2 linked regions of the Rhinolophus ferrumequinum genome follow. The protein of the gene in region 2 interacts with the protein of the main gene of each other region in a pairwise test. Links are inferred from orthologs where the notes say so. Each region holds a gene or a part of one and is shown on either strand. Other genes may lie near its edges.

Evidence for each region. The genes of interacting proteins can lie anywhere in the genome.
Region 1: the proteins of CPSF7 (region 2) and SNRNP25 interact in binary tests that used the Homo sapiens proteins (3 or more experiments, as listed by UniProt). The two-hybrid records come from large-scale screens. The link is inferred for Rhinolophus ferrumequinum from reciprocal best matches to the Homo sapiens genes CPSF7 and SNRNP25.

Annotation. Positions count from the first base shown.
Region 1 is NW_022680357.1:2,145,303-2,155,015, reverse strand, and holds SNRNP25 (U11/U12 small nuclear ribonucleoprotein 25 kDa protein), read right to left. Parts: upstream 6,232-9,713; 5' UTR 6,038-6,231; coding exon 5,996-6,037; intron 5,201-5,995; coding exon 5,110-5,200; intron 4,872-5,109; coding exon 4,766-4,871; intron 4,237-4,765; coding exon 4,162-4,236; intron 3,716-4,161; coding exon 3,658-3,715; 3' UTR 3,228-3,657; downstream 1-3,227. Other genes in the region: RHBDF1 (inactive rhomboid protein 1), read left to right, coding at 1-4, 436-536, 683-746, 1,118-1,212, 1,405-1,480, 1,551-1,651, 1,762-1,915, 2,054-2,473; POLR3K (DNA-directed RNA polymerase III subunit RPC10), read left to right, coding at 6,452-6,562, 8,266-8,353, 9,617-9,713.
Region 2 is NC_046294.1:9,493,861-9,503,573, forward strand, and holds the start of CPSF7 (cleavage and polyadenylation specificity factor subunit 7), read left to right. Parts: upstream 1-4,595; 5' UTR 4,596-4,719; exon of another isoform or gene 4,720-4,831; intron 4,832-4,920; coding exon of another isoform or gene 4,921-5,102; intron 5,103-5,104; coding exon of another isoform or gene 5,105-5,231; intron 5,232-5,232; coding exon of another isoform or gene 5,233-5,268; exon of another isoform or gene 5,269-5,304; intron 5,305-5,322; 5' UTR 5,323-5,377; coding exon 5,378-5,431; intron 5,432-9,713.

The DNA.
Region 1 (9,713 bases), on a different chromosome or scaffold from region 2:
CTCGGTGTGTCCCCCTGCCCGCAGCGCACGCCCTTACCTGCGCTGGGTGTGTTTGTGGTCGTGTTGTGACCTCAGATGGAGCCCGTTGGGTTATCCTTTACCTTCGATCTCGGCACATTACACCGTCCCTCAAATCACGTTCATTACGTTTTCATTCCCCAATTCCTCCGTCTTACCCAGCCGACCGTTGTAACGCCTGTGTGTGCTCTTTCTGCACGTGTCTTGTTTTTGTGCCTGTGCCGACAATTTACCTAAGTGGTATTTCCTTTATCCAAGTTGAGCTTATAACAGAATCTCCCCCGTGCACATTTCTGGAGTGTAAATGTATGGAGTGGGGGTTGAGCTCTGGAGGCGCTCAGTGGTTTTGCTTTGGAGTCTTGCATTCTCGAGTCTGTACTGGGGGCGGGGCGGGCTCTGACCTGTGTCTTCCCACAGTCCACGCTCGCGGTGTGGGTCAAGTGGCCCTTTCATCCCAGCGCCCCAGACCTTGCCGGCCAGAAGAGGCAGTTCGGTTCTGTCTGCCACCAGGACCCCAGGTCAGCCCTGTAGCCCCTCCCTTACCTCTTGGTCCTGCTCTCCCGGGGTAGTGGGGGGAGAGGGTGCTCCCCTCGTGGAGCTGGGTGGAAGGGTGCCAGTGCTAAGGGCCCAGAGCTGGGCCTGACCACATGCTGGGCTCGTGCAGGGTGTGTGATGAGCCCTCCTCTGAGGACCCCCACGAGTGGCCGGATGACATCACCAAGTGGCCGGTGAGCCTGGGTGGTGGGGTTGTTGGGGAGGAATCCACACCTCACCTGATGCCAGGAGGTCCTGACCCTCCTGGGACACTGTGTTTAGATGCAGTGCCCCTGACCTTTGCCCAGCTTGTCCCTCCGCCGACCCTTGCCTCTCTGAGCAGGTAGTTAGAGCAGGAGAACCATGTAGAGACTTGGGAGGCCAAATGACATTATTCCAGTTTGACCGTTGGCCAGGCTGAAGCTCAGCGTCCAGCAGCCTCTTGCTCAGGGAGGCCTGTTTCCTACCGCGGCAGCCTGTCCTTCTCTGCCCCAACCCCCAAGCCTGGTGTGGGGCCCCGGGTTGGGGGAGGCCCTGACCCAACTCATCCCCATTTGTGACCCAGATCTGCACCAAAAACAGCGCGGGGAACCATACGAACCACCCGCACATGGACTGTGCCATCACAGGCCGGCCCTGCTGCATTGGCACCAAGGGCAGGTAGGTGCCTGGGGGCAGAGCGCTGCCTTGGGCTGTGCCCTCCTTCCCTTACCAGGTCCCGAAATAACCCCAGATACTAGGGGCGTGGGGTGATGAAGGGCCAACAGGGGTGCGCGAGGGGGGCTGGAACCTGGGCCCCACCGTGGAGTGAGTGGGGGCCCCAGCAGCCCCAACCCTGGCCTGACCTTCCAGGTGTGAGATCACCTCCCGGGAGTACTGTGACTTCATGAGGGGTTATTTCCATGAGGAGGCCACACTCTGCTCTCAGGTAGGCCTCCAGGCTGAGCGCCCTCCCTGTCCCCCCGCCTCGGAGGGTGCTGACAGGCCACTCTGCACAGGTGCACTGCATGGATGACGTGTGCGGGCTTCTGCCCTTCCTCAATCCCGAGGTGCCCGACCAGTTCTACCGCCTGTGGCTGTCCCTCTTCTTACACGCTGGGCAAGTGACACCCTCAGTGCTGAGCAGGGATGGGTGGGCAGGGGTCTCAGGGCCCCCGGGAGTGGCGGGCCACGGGTGGCCGTCCCTGCTGAGGCCCCTCCACCCCACAGCATCCTGCACTGCCTGGTGTCCGTCTGCTTCCAGATGACCGTCCTGCGGGACCTGGAGAAGCTGGCGGGCTGGCACCGAATCGCCATCATTTACCTGCTGAGTGGCGTCACCGGGAACCTAGCCAGTGCCATTTTCCTGCCGTACCGGGCAGAGGTGAGGATGGGTGCCAGCCTGGGAGCGTGTCCCCTCGGGCCCTTGATCCTGCTGTGCTCCAGGCCACGGGAGGCGGGATGAGGGGACGAGGCTGTGGGTCCGGGGGTCCCACTCGGCCCGCACTGCCTGTCCCCCCAGGTGGGCCCGGCCGGCTCGCAGTTCGGCATCCTGGCGTGCCTCTTCGTGGAGCTCTTCCAGAGCTGGCAGATCCTGGCCCGGCCCTGGCGCGCCTTCTTCAAGCTGCTGGCGGTGGTGCTCTTCCTGTTCACATTTGGGCTGCTGCCCTGGATCGACAACTTCGCCCACATCTCGGGCTTCGTCAGCGGCCTCTTCCTGTCCTTCGCCTTCTTGCCCTACGTCAGCTTCGGCAGGTTCGACCTGTACCGCAAGCGCTGCCAGATCCTCATCTTCCAGGCCGTGTTCCTGGGCCTGCTGGCCGGCCTGGTGGTCCTCTTCTACTTCTACCCCGTGCGCTGTGAGTGGTGTGAGTTCCTCACCTGCATCCCCTTCACCGACAAGTTCTGCGAGAAGTACGAGCTGGACGCCCAGCTCCACTGAGCTGCTGGCCACTGGGGCCACCTGCTCCCGGGCGCCGTCCACCCCGAGCCTTGCAGGCCACGGACGGGGCTGCCTGAGCCCCGTGTGGGGTTCTCAGGCCACGGACGGGGCTGCCTGAGCCCCGTGTGGGGTCCGTAGGCCACGGACAGGGCTGCCTGAGCCCTGTGTGGGGTCCGCCCGCGTCTTGGACACAGACCTCTTGTGCCTTGTTCACTGCTGTTGACCCTCTCGTACTTCTGGGCATTTATTACACTAGTTCCCGTGATTCCCTTCTAACTAGTCTCTTGACGACCACCTCAGGTGGCCAATAAATGGACTGGGAGCGTTTTAGCTGCCACTAACTTGACCAGAGCTGCCTTCTGCTTTCTCGTTCCTGGCTGGGGGCTGTGGCGGGACGTTCCTCTCACTCACAATTCCCCAGACAAGGAACGAAGTATACAAAACACCTCCCAGGGAAGTCCCTCAGCCAGGTTGCACCCCCTGCCCCCAGCTCCCTTCCTAGTTACCGGTAGCCACAATGGGATACAGACCCAGGGATGTGCTGTCATTTCTCCCCCCCACACACACTGAGAAGCGCCCTCCCTGCTCAGCCAGCAGTTCCAGCTGCTGCCCCAGGCCCCTCCATTTCCGGGAGCCAGGGGATGGCACCGCTGTACAGTCCTGCGGGCCAAGGCGGGAGGCCCTGCCGACGGCTGTGCTCTCACACACAGGCCCGTTTGTTTCTGCACAAGTAGAAGAGAAAGCCAGCTGCGTGTGGGGGACACACATTTATTTCCTCCTGGCCGTGGGGGACACAGTAATGGTCAGGTGGCCTCCGCAGCCCTCAGGACGCACCGGCCCCATTCTCTGCCCTTGCCTCCTGGGATGCCGCAGTGCCCGTCCCTCCTGCCGGGACCGTGGCTTGTGGACTTTTCCAGGTCAGAAGCAGAGAGGTTTATGCTGTACTCAGGGCCTGGCCCACAGCCCTGTGGCATCTGCCACGAGATGAGGGTGTTTGGGCTCAGGGAGGGGTCAAGCTCAGGTCACGAGCACTGGCTCGTCAGGTCCTAGTCCTGAGGGCCCAGGCTTCAGACAAGTCCACCTGTGCTCACTTTGACATTCTCCTGTGACAAGGGGACAGTGGCCCGAAGCTGCTTCCTGCTGGGCAGAGCTTGTCACCGGCACAGTTGTCCTCGTCCAGGGGTTCATTTTTGCCTCAGCTTTTTGATGAAAGACACCTCGTCCCGATTCCGGATACCATAACTGAAAGAGAAGGAAAGGTGTCAAGTGTCTGATCTCCAGAAGGGTACATCCAGGACTCCTCACCTGAGGCTGGTGAAAAACCAAGAAAGAACAGGTGGGAAGAGTGTGGCATCCAGGAGGGGGCAGTGGCCACACGTACCAGGGGGCAGCCTTTCACCTCCATGCACTCTTTCTCCCCTCTTCTGCCTCTGTGCTGCCCTGAACTGCCACTGGTGAGAAGCAGTAGGGCCCCTCACCCCTCTCCTCCACCCGCATTCTCCTCGTGGGGGCCCCCAGCGGGAGGCGTCAGCACAGCCAGGGTCCTCTGTAGGTCTCACAGAGTCCTCAGGAACTGACTGAGGATCCCTCCTTCCTGGGAGGGGGCCCCAGCCGTCTGGCAGAGCATGTGTAACCAGACGGCACCGCCCAAATGCCTGCCTGTAGCTCAACATGTGGCCTGGACTTACTCTCGGAGCTTCTTCCTGTCCTCTGTGAGCTTCTCTCCTGCAGAGGTCAGATGGTACGTTCTCCACACGTAGGGCCTGCAAGGTAGGGTTTCAGGTAAACCGTGAGCAGGGTGAGTGGAGCAGCTGGGATGCAGACGCTGTGACTGAGAGCGGCTCACGGTGCTCAGCTCTGTGGGCCCGGGGCAGCCGGCCGCCTCTTCTGGGCTGTTTCCTGTACACTGTGCACTGTGCCTGAGGCGGCTACAAGGAGGCCCGGCTCTATGAGGGCCGTGTGGGCCATGCAAGGGAGGAGAAGAACATCCAGGAGAAGTCCTGGATGTACCGTCTGTAACTAGGAGACCACTTCTGGACACATCACACATGCCCTAAGGTGTCCCTAAGTACAGATACCAGCTGCCTAGGTGGGGTGATGCAGATGAAAGAGCAGGTGATGCAGGACTCCCAGGCACAGAAGCACCTGCCCTGTCTGAAAGCTCCGGGCAGGGAGCGCATCACTTTAGTCAGTACTTTGTAACAGGGCTCAGTGACTAAAAAGCACACGGAGTCCTGTGGAGTCCCAGTCCAGCTCCCAGGAGGGGATGCAAAGAGCCTTGGCGCCACTTACCAGCTGATGTGTTGAATGCCGCCTTCCCGCTCCTGCCTGAGCTGCACGTATCTCTGGATGGCTTTCTTCAGGTCCAGGACTGTGGCATTCTGTACCACGACCACAGCTGCAACCAGGGACACAAAAGGGAGAAGATCCATGGTGGGAAGCCCCAGCCACAGCCTCAGGTGGGGGGAGAGGAACCCAGAAGCCCTGTCAAGCCTTGTTTCTGACCGAGGCTCAAATCTGGGTGGGTGGGCTTGTGGTTGCCCCAACACCCATGGGCATGGCCCCTGAGTGTCCCACTGACCAGCCCCTGTGAAAGCTCAGATTGCACGGCCTGAAGGGAGGAGGGCAGCACTTACGCATGACTTCTCCATCCATCTTGCACACTCGGACTGTCATTGCTTGGCCATACTCTAGGGCTATTTGGGAATTGACCTCTTCCAAAGTAACCTAGAAAAGACCAAGGGGGGAGGTGGGAGCCCTGGCTTTACCACCCCAAAACGACAACAAAGAAAAACAAGGTGGTACTGTCCAAAGAGTGGTGCAACGTTATATGAAAGATGAGAAAGGGAAAGGGTTCTTACTTATATATCAGGGTTTCCCAGTCCAGCACCTCAATCTCATGTGCCACCCACATTTCCCATTTAAAGTCCAAAGCGGACAGAGGCTCTGGAGAAAGGAGCACAGGAACAGGCAAGAAGGATGGATCCTTTCATCCAGGGGCTGGGTAGGAAGAAGAACCCTGGGCCTGCCCGTGCGTTCTGGGAGCCTCTGATCACCAGGATCCAAGCCCGGGCCTCTGGAGAAGGTTGAGGCACGTGTGCGATGATACACGTTGCCAATACAACTTTTAAGAAAATACAAGTTAACTTGAAAACTCCATGATGGACCAAAGAATACTGAAGCTTGAGAAGGGAAAAAACCGGCACTAACGATCTCGTCCTTCTTTTGTTGGCGATAGGTTTTACACCAACTTTGTGTTATGAACGTATTAAAATATTATTTTATTTATTTATTTATTTATTTATTGATTGATTTATTTATTTTGGCGCTTCTTTAATTTCCGCGCCCCACGGGAGAGCCCCGCTCGCCCCGCCCCAGGCTCGGCCCTGGTTAAGACCCTCATTTACGCCCAGAGGTGCCTTCCTGAGGCCTTTGGGCCACAGCCCCCATCAGCACCGCGCGGGATCCACACCCGACGAACGTCCCGGCGGGGCACGACGCCTGCACCCTGCCCGCGCGCACCTGGATCGGGAGATCGCAGAGCAGTGGGTCCTGCACCACCATGGCGAGACCCTCCTGGAACACGTCCACCGCCTCGGAGTGCGGCAGCGCCTCCTCTTCGTCCTCATCGTCGTCCTGCGCCTCGGGCTGTGCCGCCGCCTCCGCCGCCTCCAGGGCGCCTCGCTGCCGAGCGCGCTCCGCCCGCACCGTCCGTCTGCAAGACCGAGGCGCGGCGCTTTCGCCCGCGGAGCAAAACCCGCAGTCAGTTCCGACATTAGGGCGTCGATTGGCTGCCGCGAGGACCAATGAGAAGTGCGAGATGGCCTGCCGCGGTGCTCGCTGGGAGCGCGACATCGGCGTGTCTATTGGTGGGCTAAGGTGGCCAGGACCAATAGGAGCTCGAGGCGGGCGGGCATAGTGTCGGCTCCTGGGCGGCCGCGGGGGCTGCCGGGAGCCTGCGGGGCTGAGTCCGCCGTCATGCTGCTTTTCTGCCCCGGCTGCGGGAACGGGCTGATCGTGGAGGAGGGACAGCGCTGCCACCGTTTCGCCTGCAACACCTGCCCCTACGTGCACAACATCACCCGCAAGGTGGGTCCTGGAGCCCGGCGTCGGGCCCCCGCAGGCCTCCCGCTTCCTCCGGCTGTGCTCCACCCCTGTCAGGACGCAAGGTGGAGGCCCTGGCCGTGGTCACCGCCGAGGCCACAGCGGTCCTTGTAACGCCGAAGTCAGATCGAGTCCGTCTTGCGCTCGGTAACGCTCAGCAGTTCGCCAGCGTGAAATGTGCTCGCGGGGCAGACCGAGCGTTGACACCACGCCCCTCCCCCCAGCCTTGCTTTTCTGATGTCAGAAAAGGGGCTCTTTTGCCCCAGAAACACCAGCCTCTTGGAGGATCCCCCCTGATGGACGTGGCATTACTAGCAGCGCCTTTGCCCACGTTTCCTGTCCGGTCCAGACTTCCCCTAAGACAGCCGTGCCACTCTTTTGTCACGTCGTCACTTAAATCATCACTCAGTGTAAAATTGCAGCCCTTCCGTTTTATCCTCTTTCCCGGTTTTGGTTTTTCTCTAGGACTCCTTACCTTCTAATAACACGGTATAATTTACTTACGTGCTTTGTTTACCGAAGCCGAGACCTAAGCTGTAGGAGGGCAGGGCTCTTTCTGTTTTGTTCCCTCTTGTGTGCTAGTCGGAACGCCGAGGATGGAACTGAGGATGTGGAGGTGTTCACTGCGGTGAATTGTGCTCACGGTGTTAGGACTCGGTATTTTCCCCTTGATCTTTTGTGGGGACAGAGCCCCAAAAAGCAGTTTCCAGGCTCTCGGCCTCACATAGCAAGGTGCTGGCTCAGGTAGTAAATGGCCATCGACTGATCAAATGGCCATCAGCTGTGGCTAGTTGGCCGTCAGCTGTAACCAGTGAGCCATTGGGCACTAATATAACTGCCGTGGCTAGGCTAACAGAAATGGGGGCTAGCGAGAAGATGGTGGCTGAGCCAGCAAGTGGAGCAGTGAGGGTTGAGACTTGTGTTGCTCCTGGTTTCCTGTGTCTCCAACCCAGCCGCCAGTGAGAATATAGTGGTGTGACTCCCCTACCTATGGCTCCGTGGGTGTTCCTTTTTGGCCTCACTATGTCCTGCGTTCTTATGTGGGGAGTGGGACCAGAGACCCCGCCTGACACCCTGCACGACATCTTTACTCTTTAGAAGTAGAGCCCCTTGGGGCCACCCCGTTCTGAGTGTTTGTGTACTGCACCATATTGCTGTGTTGTGGGAGTTTAGAGTCTGGATCTATGAGAAGAGTGAACTCTTACGTAAGCCTGACATTTCAAGGATGTCGGGTAAAACTTGGGAAAGAAACTGAGTGCTTTGAAAGCTCTCTGCCTGCGGGGAGCGGCTGGGCTCCCCAGCTGGTACTCTTTGGCTTCAGGTGTATTTGTTTCTCACATCTTGGGTTAGGCGGTGGTATCTTAGAGATATGGGCGTAGAGGAGGGTCACACCTAAGCCATCGTGTCTTCCTGCTCTGGTGTTTCATTCAATCCTTGCAGAGATCTTCTCTGACGGCTGAATCTCTCTCTTCTCTTGTGGGGGCATCCCAATCGTAGGTTCTTTAAATTCCAGTGGTGCGTCCTGCTCTGTGGTAGCGGGAACACTGTTTTCGTTTAGTCTCCCTGCTGGCTGGGAGGAAGACAGTCTGGGAAGACACTTGAGGGCAGCTGTGGAGGTGTGGTTTGGTGGCCCACGGTTGCACTGTTCACTGACTTGGAGAGTCTGAAGGCTTGCTGTTGTTTGTTAGGTAACAAATCGGAAGTATCCAAAGCTCAAAGAAGTGGATGATGTGCTTGGTGGAGCAGCTGCCTGGGAGAATGTTGACTCTACTGCAGGTAAGAGGGAAAGCCTTCTGTAACTGAGCGGTGGGTAAGTATGAAGCCACTGGCTGCTGCTCCGTGGCAGTCGGTGATGTATTTAGAAAGTGTGTTTGCGCTTTAAGAACTTACTTGTTAACTCCAATGATATTGGCACAAGCCTTGGAGTCGTGCAGTCCTGAGTTAAAGTCTCGGGGTGACTTCTTACTGTTTTATGACCTTGCTGGGGTCCCTGAAGCGCTCCAGGGCTAATCCACACTCATAGGTTGTGAGAGCACCCAAGTGAGTTATAGTGTTTCGCATATAACAGGCAATTCTACAGGCGGTAGCTACGATAGCTACAAGGTCAGGAATAATACAAATCAGAGTCGCGGGAAATAAATGTGGTGGTCTTGTTCTCATGCGGCGTGTTAAACGTTAATACCAGAGAGCACCTAACTGCAGTCTCAGTAAAATAAATGTTTCTTTCAAGTCTTGATTCGTTTCTGATAGACATAGATGTGACCAAGGAAGGGCAGAGCAGAGCCCTAGACAACCTGCGCCGAGGGGAGGAACAGCGAAGTAAGATTAGTGCCATTGCTCTGCCTCTCTGGACCGGTACCCAGATCCGCCACGTGAACAATTTAGCAAAGGCAGAAGTTGTCATTAAAAGCTAAGTTATGCCCCGAATGTCCAAAATGGTGTTTGAGAATTTTTGAAGGTGTTTCCATCAAGAGCAGGGTTAGTGTCGCAAAGTAAAAACCTTTGAAGGTAAATGTGTCCTGGGGTCCTCGGAAAAGGTACGTATGTGTGGTGAGATCTTGATAAAAGCAGCCTGAGGAGCTACTGCCAAATAGACCCCTAAATACTCGGGGAAGCCGATTGGTCAGCCCTTGGCAGCTCCTCTGGGAAGAAGAGAGGGCGTCTCCACGTCCCAGGTGATGGAGATGAATTTGTTAGGGGAAGTCTGCACGGCGTGGGCCCCGTAATTCACACAGCAGCCGTGTTACGTTTCCAACCAGTCTTCTACCAGGTTTGAGAAAAACAGTGAGAAAAAACAGTTTGAGAAAAACAGGGCGGGGAGGAGAGTGTTTCCAAGCTCTCCTGGATTTCCTCAGTGTGAGGGCACATTGGGAACGAGATCACTGTTTATAGCCTTCCATCCGGGGACAAGGGACACCAGGTGAGCGAGGGAGGGGCTTTGCTGCCTTTTATATAACACCTGCTTCTATCAGGTATGCTGGTCGAGGAGCCTCGTGTGTTAAATAACGGGGATACCTTGTTTCTTTCTCTCATTTCCAGAGCCCTGCCCCAAATGCGAACATCCTCGAGCCTATTTTATGCAGCTTCAGACCCGCTCTGCAGACGAGCCCATGACTACCTTCTACAAGTGCTGCAA
Region 2 (9,713 bases):
ACTTTATCATACAGATATTGAGTGGAAACACAAAAACAGAAGACCCAGAGTGTGACAGAAATAATGAGCTATCCCCTACTATCCATTCTCTCATTTTTCCTTAATAACAGAATCTTCAATTTAGACACCTAGAATAGACTATATTATTTCTTCTTTATGGTGAGGTGTAGCCATGTGACTAAACCGTAGCTAGTGGGAAATGAGTGGAAGTATGATGTTTAACTTCCTGAGAAGGATCCATAAAGAATAGGGTGTGCTTTTCTATACACTTTTTTCTTGGCTGAAATATGGATATGGCAGATGGGGCTTTAGCAGACATCTTGGACCAGGAGTTGGACGACACATGCTGAGGATGAAGGAGCAGCAAGGTTTTTGAAACCCCTCTATATGCCTACCCTGGACTTCTATTATGAGAAAGAGAAATACAGTTTTGTCTTGCTTAAGCCATTATTGTCTTAGATTTTTTTGTTACTCACAGCCAAAGCTAATGCTAACTATACACAGTGAATATTCATTCCTCAAAGGCAGTGTCAGAATGAGACTACTGAAGAACTCTTGCTCTGCAGACTATAGAGCTGTCTATAACGGGTTCCACTCTATTCCCAGCCTAGTTTTTCTTCAACCTTCTCTCCGAGACTGTGAGCTTCCCGTACAATTTCAGTAAATTCCCTTTTTGCTCAAGTTACACAGAATAGGTTTCTCTTGCTTGCAAACAAAGAACCTTAATAAAACAAATTTTGCACACTTTGTAAAAATTTGATGAGTGTTTGGGTTAAGGGTCTATTGTATTAATAAAAGAAAAAAATTGCCTAGAATATAATTTTAGACTCAAAATAGGCCCAAGTCATCCTACTTTTCCCATTATGCTGCTTATCATGCCCAGTACCTGTAGCCCAGTAGTAAATATCCCAGTCATTGCTAGGCTCATTAATCAGGCGATCGTAGAGGTTCAGCTGTTTCTCTGTCATGTGGTGCAGATATTCTTTAGCAAAGAGGCTAAAAACAAGAAAGAGAAAGAAGTTGAAATGCTGTCTCTAGTCAAAGAGAAGTGACACCAACACCCCTGTCCCCTACCTAAGCAGAATGCAGTTTTCCAGCATTCCCCTCTTTCTGCTCTCATAGAGCAGGCGGGCTCTTTTGGTTTCTATGGATTCATCAGTTCGCTCCTGCCATGGAGGCAAAGGGATTTCAATCATATCTTTTTGGGAATCTGTTGGGCTGTCACCTCTGCAGAAGTGTCTGAATGATGTCATGCTGAGCAAAGGAGACACTGGGTGGCGCCTGGACAGAGCAAGCATCTGAAACAAAGCACAAACATCTTTTTAACAACAACAAATAACATTTGTCATTCACTCAACACATTAGATGCTAAATACATTCAATCTCATTTAGTCTGTAAGAACTTATGCTGATACTGACTCCACCCTACAGTTTAGGAAGTTGAAGCTCAGGGAAGTTAAAAAACTTGTCATCCAAATAGTAACTGCAGTTAGGATCGAAACCGAGCTATAATTACAAACGTGTTCTTAATCAGTGCCCTTCCAGAAATTATCCAGCAGAAATATTTTCTCTTTCCTTTGCAGTCCCTTAAAATTTTTACAGTATGGTTTGTATTCTAGTCACTAGCCTGTGTCAAAATCTGAGCATACAGTGATGGCATGGATCCTAATCCCCCAAGGACTCCTAGAGAAAGTCAAAAACTATCAAGATGTGATGAGAAGGTGGTGATATAAGCAAGATGACAGAGCAGGAAGCACCACATTCTCCTTCACCCACAGAGACACCAACTCCACAACAATATACTCGGGACACTATAGAAGCCTGGGGGCTGAGAACAGAGCTGGAAGGCTTGTGGCACCTTGAGAACCTGCAGTAGTACAGACACCAGAAGGAGTAAGAACTTATGAGCTCCCGACAAAAGAAGCCAGCAAATTCCTCTAATTAGGAATTGACATGCACAAATCCAGAGAAGACATATCTACTCGAAAGTATTGGGAAGCCCCCAGAATCTCTAGCAGGGCTGCCTGGTGATGGTCTTTCTTTGAATAAAGCCAGTCCAAAAAAACTAGGAGAGTTGGCTGTTTTATCAAATGCGTGGATCCCAACAAAAAATTGTACAGGACACAAAGAAACAAGGAAACATGGCCTAATCAAAGGAACAAAACAAATCTCCAGAAATCGACCCTAAAGAAACAGAGGTATATGAATTACCTGACAAAGAATTCAAAATAACTGCCATCAAGATGTTCAATGAGGTCAGAAAAACAATGCATGAACAAAATGAAAATATCAATAAAGATAAATATTAAAAAGAACCCAATGGAAAATGTAGAACTGAAGGATACAATAACTGAATTTAAAAATTCACTATCGGGGTTAAACAGCAGACTTGATCAAGCAGAAGAAAGAATGAGTGAACTCTAAGACAAGTCATTTGAAATTACCCATCAGAAGAAAGAAAAGAAAAAATAATGAAAAACAGTGAATACACCCAAGAGACTTATGGGACATCATCAAGCGTACACTACACACATTATGGGAGTCCCAGAAGAAGAGAGAGAAAGGAGCAGAAAGCTCATTTGAAGAAATAATGGACCAAAACTTCCCAAATCCAGGGAAATGAATGGACATTAAAATTCAAGAAGCCCAAAGGACCTAAAGCATATTAGACAGTAACACAAAAGCATATAAAAGCATAAAGCTCACTGGTAAAGGTAAATATGACAAATACAGAATATCGTAATATTGTAACAATGGTGCATAAATCACTTTTAATTCTGGTATAGAAGTTAAAACACAAAGACTTTTTTTAAAGACCTATAAAATATGTTAATGGATACACAATATAAAAATATGCAATTGTGACATCAATAACATAAAGTGAGAAGGAGTAAAAGAGCAGAGTTTTTGTATGAGATTGAAGTTAAACTGTTATCAGCTTAAAATAGTTATTATGTTGTATGTAAGCCCCACAGTAACCACAAAGGAAATACCTATACAAGATACACAATAGAAAGTCAGAAAGGAATCAAAGTATGCTTCTACCAAAAAAAAAAAAAAAAATCAACGAAACACCAAAGATGATATCAAGGGAGGAAAAGAGGGACACAGGCTCCAAGACATGAAGGAAATATTTAACAAAATGGCAACAGTAAGTCCTTTCCTACCAGTAATTATTTTAAATGTAAATATATTAAACTCCCCAACCAAAATAGAGAGTGACTCAATAGACAAAAAAAAAAAACAAAAAAACAAACAACAAAAAAAACAAGACTCAAGTATATGCTGTTAAAAGAGACTCACTTGAGATGTAAGGCAACACATAAGTTGAAAGTGAAAGAATGAAAAAAAGATATTCCATGCAAATGGTAACCAAAAGTGAGCAGAGGCCTCTACTCATATCAGGCTTTCAATCAAAAACTGTTACAAGAGATAAAGAAGGATATTATGTAATAATAAAAGGGTCAATCCACCAGGAAGATATAACAATTATAAATATACATGTAACCAATATCAGAGCACCCAAATATATGAAGCAAACACTGACAGAACTGAAGAAAGAAATAGCAACACAATAATAGATTTCAATGCCCCACTTTCAATAATGGATAGAACATCCAGACAGAAGATCAGTAAGTAAATAGAGAACTTGAACAACACTACAGATCCAATGAACCAAACAGATATATACAGAACATTCCACCCAACAGCAGCGAGAATATACATTATTCTCAAGCACACTGTGAACATCCTCCAGGATAGATCACGTTAGGTTATAAAACAAGTTTAAGAATATTGAAATTGTATGAGATCTTTTCTGACTACAACGGAATGAAAACTAGAAATCAACAGCAGAAGGCAAATTGGAAAATTCACAAATATGTGAAAATAAAACAACACGCTCTCAAACAACCAATGGTTCAAATGAACCAAAGAAGAAATCAAAAGGGAAATTAGAAAATATCTTGAGACAATAGACACAACATGCAAAATAGCATGAGAAGCAGCAAAAAGCAATAGTAAGAAAAGTTTACAGTGGTAAACACCTACATTTAAGAAAAAAGGAAAAGAAAGAAAGATCTTATGATGCGATGTGAACTCACGATAGGTATTAGAGAAGATTTAAGAGGAAGCTGACTTAAAATCAGACAGAAGAGGCGCCCAGAGGCGGTGGGGCCAGCTTCACCCGGGAAACAGGTGAAATCCGTATTGGGTCTTACAGGAAGACTGATCGTTCCACGATACCACAATACAGGCAGCTAGTGGGTTCCGGAAAAGGGTGACAGCGACTTGAATCTCCTAATTTGCAAGCTCGACCTCTCCTTGGGTCTGTCCTTGCCTTAGGCTGTCAGGCAGTTGGACCTCTCCTCGCGGTCTCCAGGACTGCGGAAGAAGAAGAGACTCAGTTCCCACTGTGGCCCGCCCAGGACCCTACGACATGCATTCTCACCCGTGCCAGAGCCGGGAATACGATGGCCACTGCCATTTTTCCTGACCTGTACCGGAAGCCTGCGGCCCAGCCACTTCCGGGACCTCCCGGACGCCGACCCTGCGGAAGATTCGCCCTAAGCCGGAAGATGCGTGCCTGCGTAGGGCGGAAGTGGCTTTGCGTGTGACGCCAGTGGCGGGGTAGGGGGGAAGGCGGGACCTGGGGGGCCGAGAGCGGTTCGCGCGCTTCGGGCCTAGTTCGGACTCGCCGCCTCCGCCGCCATATTCCCGGTAACGGGGGCGCGCGGCCGGGGGCCGGCTGGGCCGGAAGAGGGCTCGGGGCCGGCGCTGAGGCGGGGAGGGGGTCGGTTGAGTTTGGGGCAGCCGGAGTCGGCGGGCGGAGGTTGGCGCGGGCCTTTGTGGGAGGGGGCCGAGGGCGCTGGGCCGGGTCTGTGGGGAGGGAGCGGGGCGGGCCTAGCTGGGGGCGAGGACTGGGCTTGGATGTGGAACAGGATCTCCGGGACTCGCGGGGATTCTAGCCGGGGCCGCCCCGGGGCCTAGGCAGGTGCGTTGGGCTGGGGCTGCGGGCTTCGCCTCGGGCGTTCTTAACGGCGCTGTGCGAGGGCCCCTAGGTGCAGAGGCCTGGGGTTCCCCGTCGCGCCACGGCCCCAGCGGCGTAGCTCGGGTCGGGCCCGAGGGTGATGGGCAGCGAGCCCCGCGAGCCCCGGCGGCCTGGGAGCGCGAGGGGCGGCGCGAGGCCGGGGGCGGGGCGGAGCGGGTGGGGCAGAGCTTGGGCTGCCGGGGAGGCTGCGTCTCTGGAGACGGGAGGTTGGCGACCATTGCCCTCCTTCCAACCCGGGACCTTCATGCCATCTAACTCTTGCCTCTCCGCAGTGGCATCTTTCTTACTTTGTCCGTTCTCCGGGCCCGCGATCTGCCTTCCGGAGCCATGTCAGAAGGAGTGGACTTGATTGATATATATGCCGACGAGGAGTTCAATCAGGTGAGGGGTCATCGGGAGTATTGGGGTTTTCCAGGATCAGCCAAGGAATCACTTCCAGCATACTTGCAGTGGCTCCAAGCTATGCTAGCTAGCCCTTGAGGATTTGCTAGGCCTGAACACGCCTCATCGGGTCTAAAATTGTTCCTCTAGTACAGATTTTCAAGACTTCTGACCATTCCGCTTTATGTTACTATAAGCCTCCAGGCTTAATTTTAAAGGCTTTCATTTAAGAGCAAATAAAAATCAGGTTTAATAGAATGGTGAATCAACCTGTGGAACTTGCTGCCCCAGGAAGCCAGAGTTGGATGTTTGTCTCCTCAAAAACTAACCACTTAAAAATCAGAAATACGTTTGCTGTGGTTTTCATGAAGACAAGGTTGATACCTGTTGCTTTGTGATTCTGTCAAACTGCGGCTGGAAAAATGTAGTCAGTCCCCTCTCCCATAAGATAGTGCGAAGTCACACTGTAAAAGATACTTTAACGTTTAATTTTAGCTCCATTACAATTGTTTTGCATTTTCCTTTGATAAGTAGCTTAAGTCCAGTCTCAAGCCCATAGGCATTTTGGTTTAATACATTTTATTGATGAATCTAATTGGGTGTTGTGGGGAGAAGTAAAGGTTTTGGACAAACCAGTTAAAAAGCAGGTATAGGGGTAGCTGGTTAGCTCAGTTGGTTAGAGCGTGGTGCTACTAACACCAAGGTTGCTGGTTCAATCCCCACATGGGCCACTGTGAGCTGCACCCTCCTTTAAAAAAAAAAAGCAGGGACAGACCCACTCACATACCCTGAGATGGATTTGTTGGTCCCTTTGTGTTATGTCAAGGAATATTATACAGTGATTTCCCTTGAAACAATAATCTCATATACAGTTCGATTCTGAGCTCTTGAGGTCAAATCTCAAGAATATTTCAAAGTTTCTATTTAAACTGATTAATATCTTGCCTGGATTGTTTTCAACACTGTTCTACTTGAGTAAGCTGGTTTTTCCCATTGGCATCTTTTATGGGGTACCCATAAGGGCCTGCAAAAAGGATAAAAAGAATAAAGGAGAAAAGAGCACTGTTTGGACCCTGACTTTAATCTGAGGCAACAGAGGAGGTTGAAATACATGTAATTTTTTTCACTTGGCATAAGTTTACGTTAAAAAAGATTTTTAATACGTTATGCCTTTTTAACATGGAATTTTTAAAACACATGATAATAGAGTAGTGTCAAGACCTTGTACCCATTATATACAGCTTCACCAGTTATACTTTTTTAAGTTTTTTTTTTTTTCAATTGGGGAAGGGGAACAGGACTTTATTGGGGAACAGTATGTACTTCCAGGACTTTTTTCCAAGTCAAGTTGTTGTCCTTTCAATCTTAGTTGTGGAGGGTGCCGTTCTGCTTCAAGTTGTCGTCTTTTCAGTCTTAGTTGTGGAGGGTGCAGCGCAGCCCCAGGTTCAGCTGCTGTTTCTAGTCGCCGGGGGCGCTGCCCACCATCCCCTGCGGGAGTCAAACCAGCAACCTTGTGGTTGAGAGCCTACTGGCCCATGTGGGAATCGAACCGGCAGCCTTCGGAATTAGGAGCATGGAGCTCCAACCGCCTGAGCCACCGGGCCGGCCCCACCAGTTATACTTTTTAATAGTCATTTTCCCATGTCTCTTCAGGTAAACTGGAGTCACCTACATGTGGCTGCTGATTGGTTTAAAAATAGGAAATTTTTTTATTTTTAATTTCATACAAGTCAAATAATCACTTACGGATAAAAAGAAAGGTTTAATATATTAGTTACAAACCATTGCTTTCCTCGGTTACTTTGAATCAAACTTATACTACTTTTAACAAGTTATGGTTCGTTTTTTAAATACAAGATATCGAGGAAAGAGGAAGGCTCCTTTATGGAGGAGTCAGAGTGGAGTTGGCTCTCTTCCGTTGGTTGATAACTGTGCTGCTATGTCCATGGGGAAATGGGCAGAACAAAGCCCTTAACCACAGGAATAGCTACATTTGGTCTGAGAAAATGAGATTTCATAACTTCTCTAGCATCGACAAGACACAGGCCTCGTCCCGTGGTCCCTGCTGTGTCAGTAGAAGTCATTGGCCTCAACAGTTCGTGTTCTCTGGTCACTTTTGTTAAAACGGACTTTCTAAAGGGAGGCCAAAGATGGTGTGAGAGAACTAGTGGATGTGTATACCAAACAATATTTGATGCTTGGCAGCTTGAAGAAAGCGTCGATTTTGAATGTCATGTCTTGTGGATGGTCGAGGTGGGGTGTTTTTTTCTCCCATAAATAAGTTAATTTTTGGCAAAGCTGGTTTTAATGTAATTTGGAGGCTGCTAAAGAAATAAAAACTCTTGTCTGGCTAGGATTGTTAGAAGCAGACTTAGACTGAAGGCGACCAGTGCGGATAGTGTTTCAGAATGTTTTAAGAATGTTATTGATTCACCCCAAGCTGACCCATGCACAAAAACTCTGTCACATGTACTTTGCTCCCCAGGGAAAATGAACACAGTTCCTAGATGGGACCCTATGGTACTGACTCCCTGATCTCTTCCAGCATGTGCTGCAAAAGCCTCTTTTGCACAGCTACTTCACTCCTGCGGCATAGGGAGTCTTGAGACTCGCAGCTGCTCTCATGGGCTGGGGAAAACTCTGGAAAATAACAGAGCTGCCTTTCTCCTGAGTGTTTTGTCTCTGTTCCTTATATGAAGACAGGCAGGCGCTTTGCACAGTATGCTCAGTTCTCTTTCTTACTTCCATCAACAAACGTTTGTTGAGCTACCTTTGTTAGCTAGGCACCATGTTGGAACTAGTGAGGTAAAAGGGAAGTAAAAAAACCAAACGGGAATCCCTGTGCTCAAAAGACGTGGTGTTCCTGGTGGTTGAGGGCAATGAACAGTGACAGGAAAGGAGAATGTTAGCTGACAATTGTGGAAATGGTGATTATAAAGCCAAAAATTGTTAGCTTTGGTTACAGTTAAGACAATGGTATCAAGTAGGTTGCTTTGAGAAAAGTAAATCCTAGGCTTTATTACTCCCCTCAGATATCAGGGAAAGGGGGTTGGAATGTGGGACCATTGAGCATACAGGTGAGGAAGTTCTTACGTAAATTTAAAATTCTGCAAGTTCTTTTTTGTTAACCAAGAAGTTTCATAAGAGAATCACAGTTCTCCCTGTACTACTAAACACAAAATTCTTCCTGAGATATTCATACAGTATTAAATACATACTTCCTTTTTAATCTTCCTGGAGTGTAATCTACAATGCATGTAAAACATTCTATTATTCACTTAATGTATAGAATTAGGTTGTGCTTTAAACTAATCCATCACTGCATAAATCACCAGCTTATTTGGTTAATCAGAGAAACCTCAGGCCCTTATCTGTTTTTCTGTTTTACCAGCTGAAGAAGTAAAATGAATTGTTGTTGCTAGCAGATTTAAATCCAAACACAACTTGATACGTTGTTTCTTCAATAGAGTCCTCAGCAGGCCTCCCCTTGTGTATCAGAACAGTTCCCACCAAGGACTATGAACTGAGGTTCTATGGCCCAGAGAAACGGTTTGAATCTTGTGACAGTTTTGAACTCATTGAATCCTTTTGTGTTTCTTAAAATGATAAGGTAATCCATACAACAGAGTCTTCCAGGATTGAGTCTGTCATTTTCTAAGGTACCCTGAAGAAGCCAATTGTTCCTCTAGGCTTACGGTGTGGGGGATTTCCTGCTGCTAGTATTTGTTCGCTGAACTGTGCAAATTTGCGTGTTAGTTCATTACCCAATTATCAATGGTAATTTTTGTACAACTTATAGACACACATCTCTGAATCGCTGATACTGCATAGAAGGAATCCCAATTTGGTTCCACTGACTATCCAAGGTGGTGTGTTTCTTTATTCCCTTTAAGTTTCACTTCAAAATCCTTGATTTAAAAAACAAACAAACAAAACACTTGGTGTGAAGTAGGATTAAAGCATTGGAGAGGATCAAGTGGTTTCTAAGCTGTTTCTCTACCTTGAACCACGAGGGCAAATCACCATAGCTAGTACACAAATAAATAAATAAGTGATTTATCTAGAATTGGGGTTGTTTGAAATGTTAGGGCTATGAAATTTTACACACAAAATGTCAAGTTACTAACCCTAGCTGTCTTCACCTTATTCAATTTATTAGCTACCCTGCGCTCTGCAATGTTAGCTTCTCTCCCTGTTCTTCACACACACACACACACCCATTTTTGTGCAATACCCTTATTTATATATTTGCCTACCTAGACCAGTGTCCCTGTGCTTATTT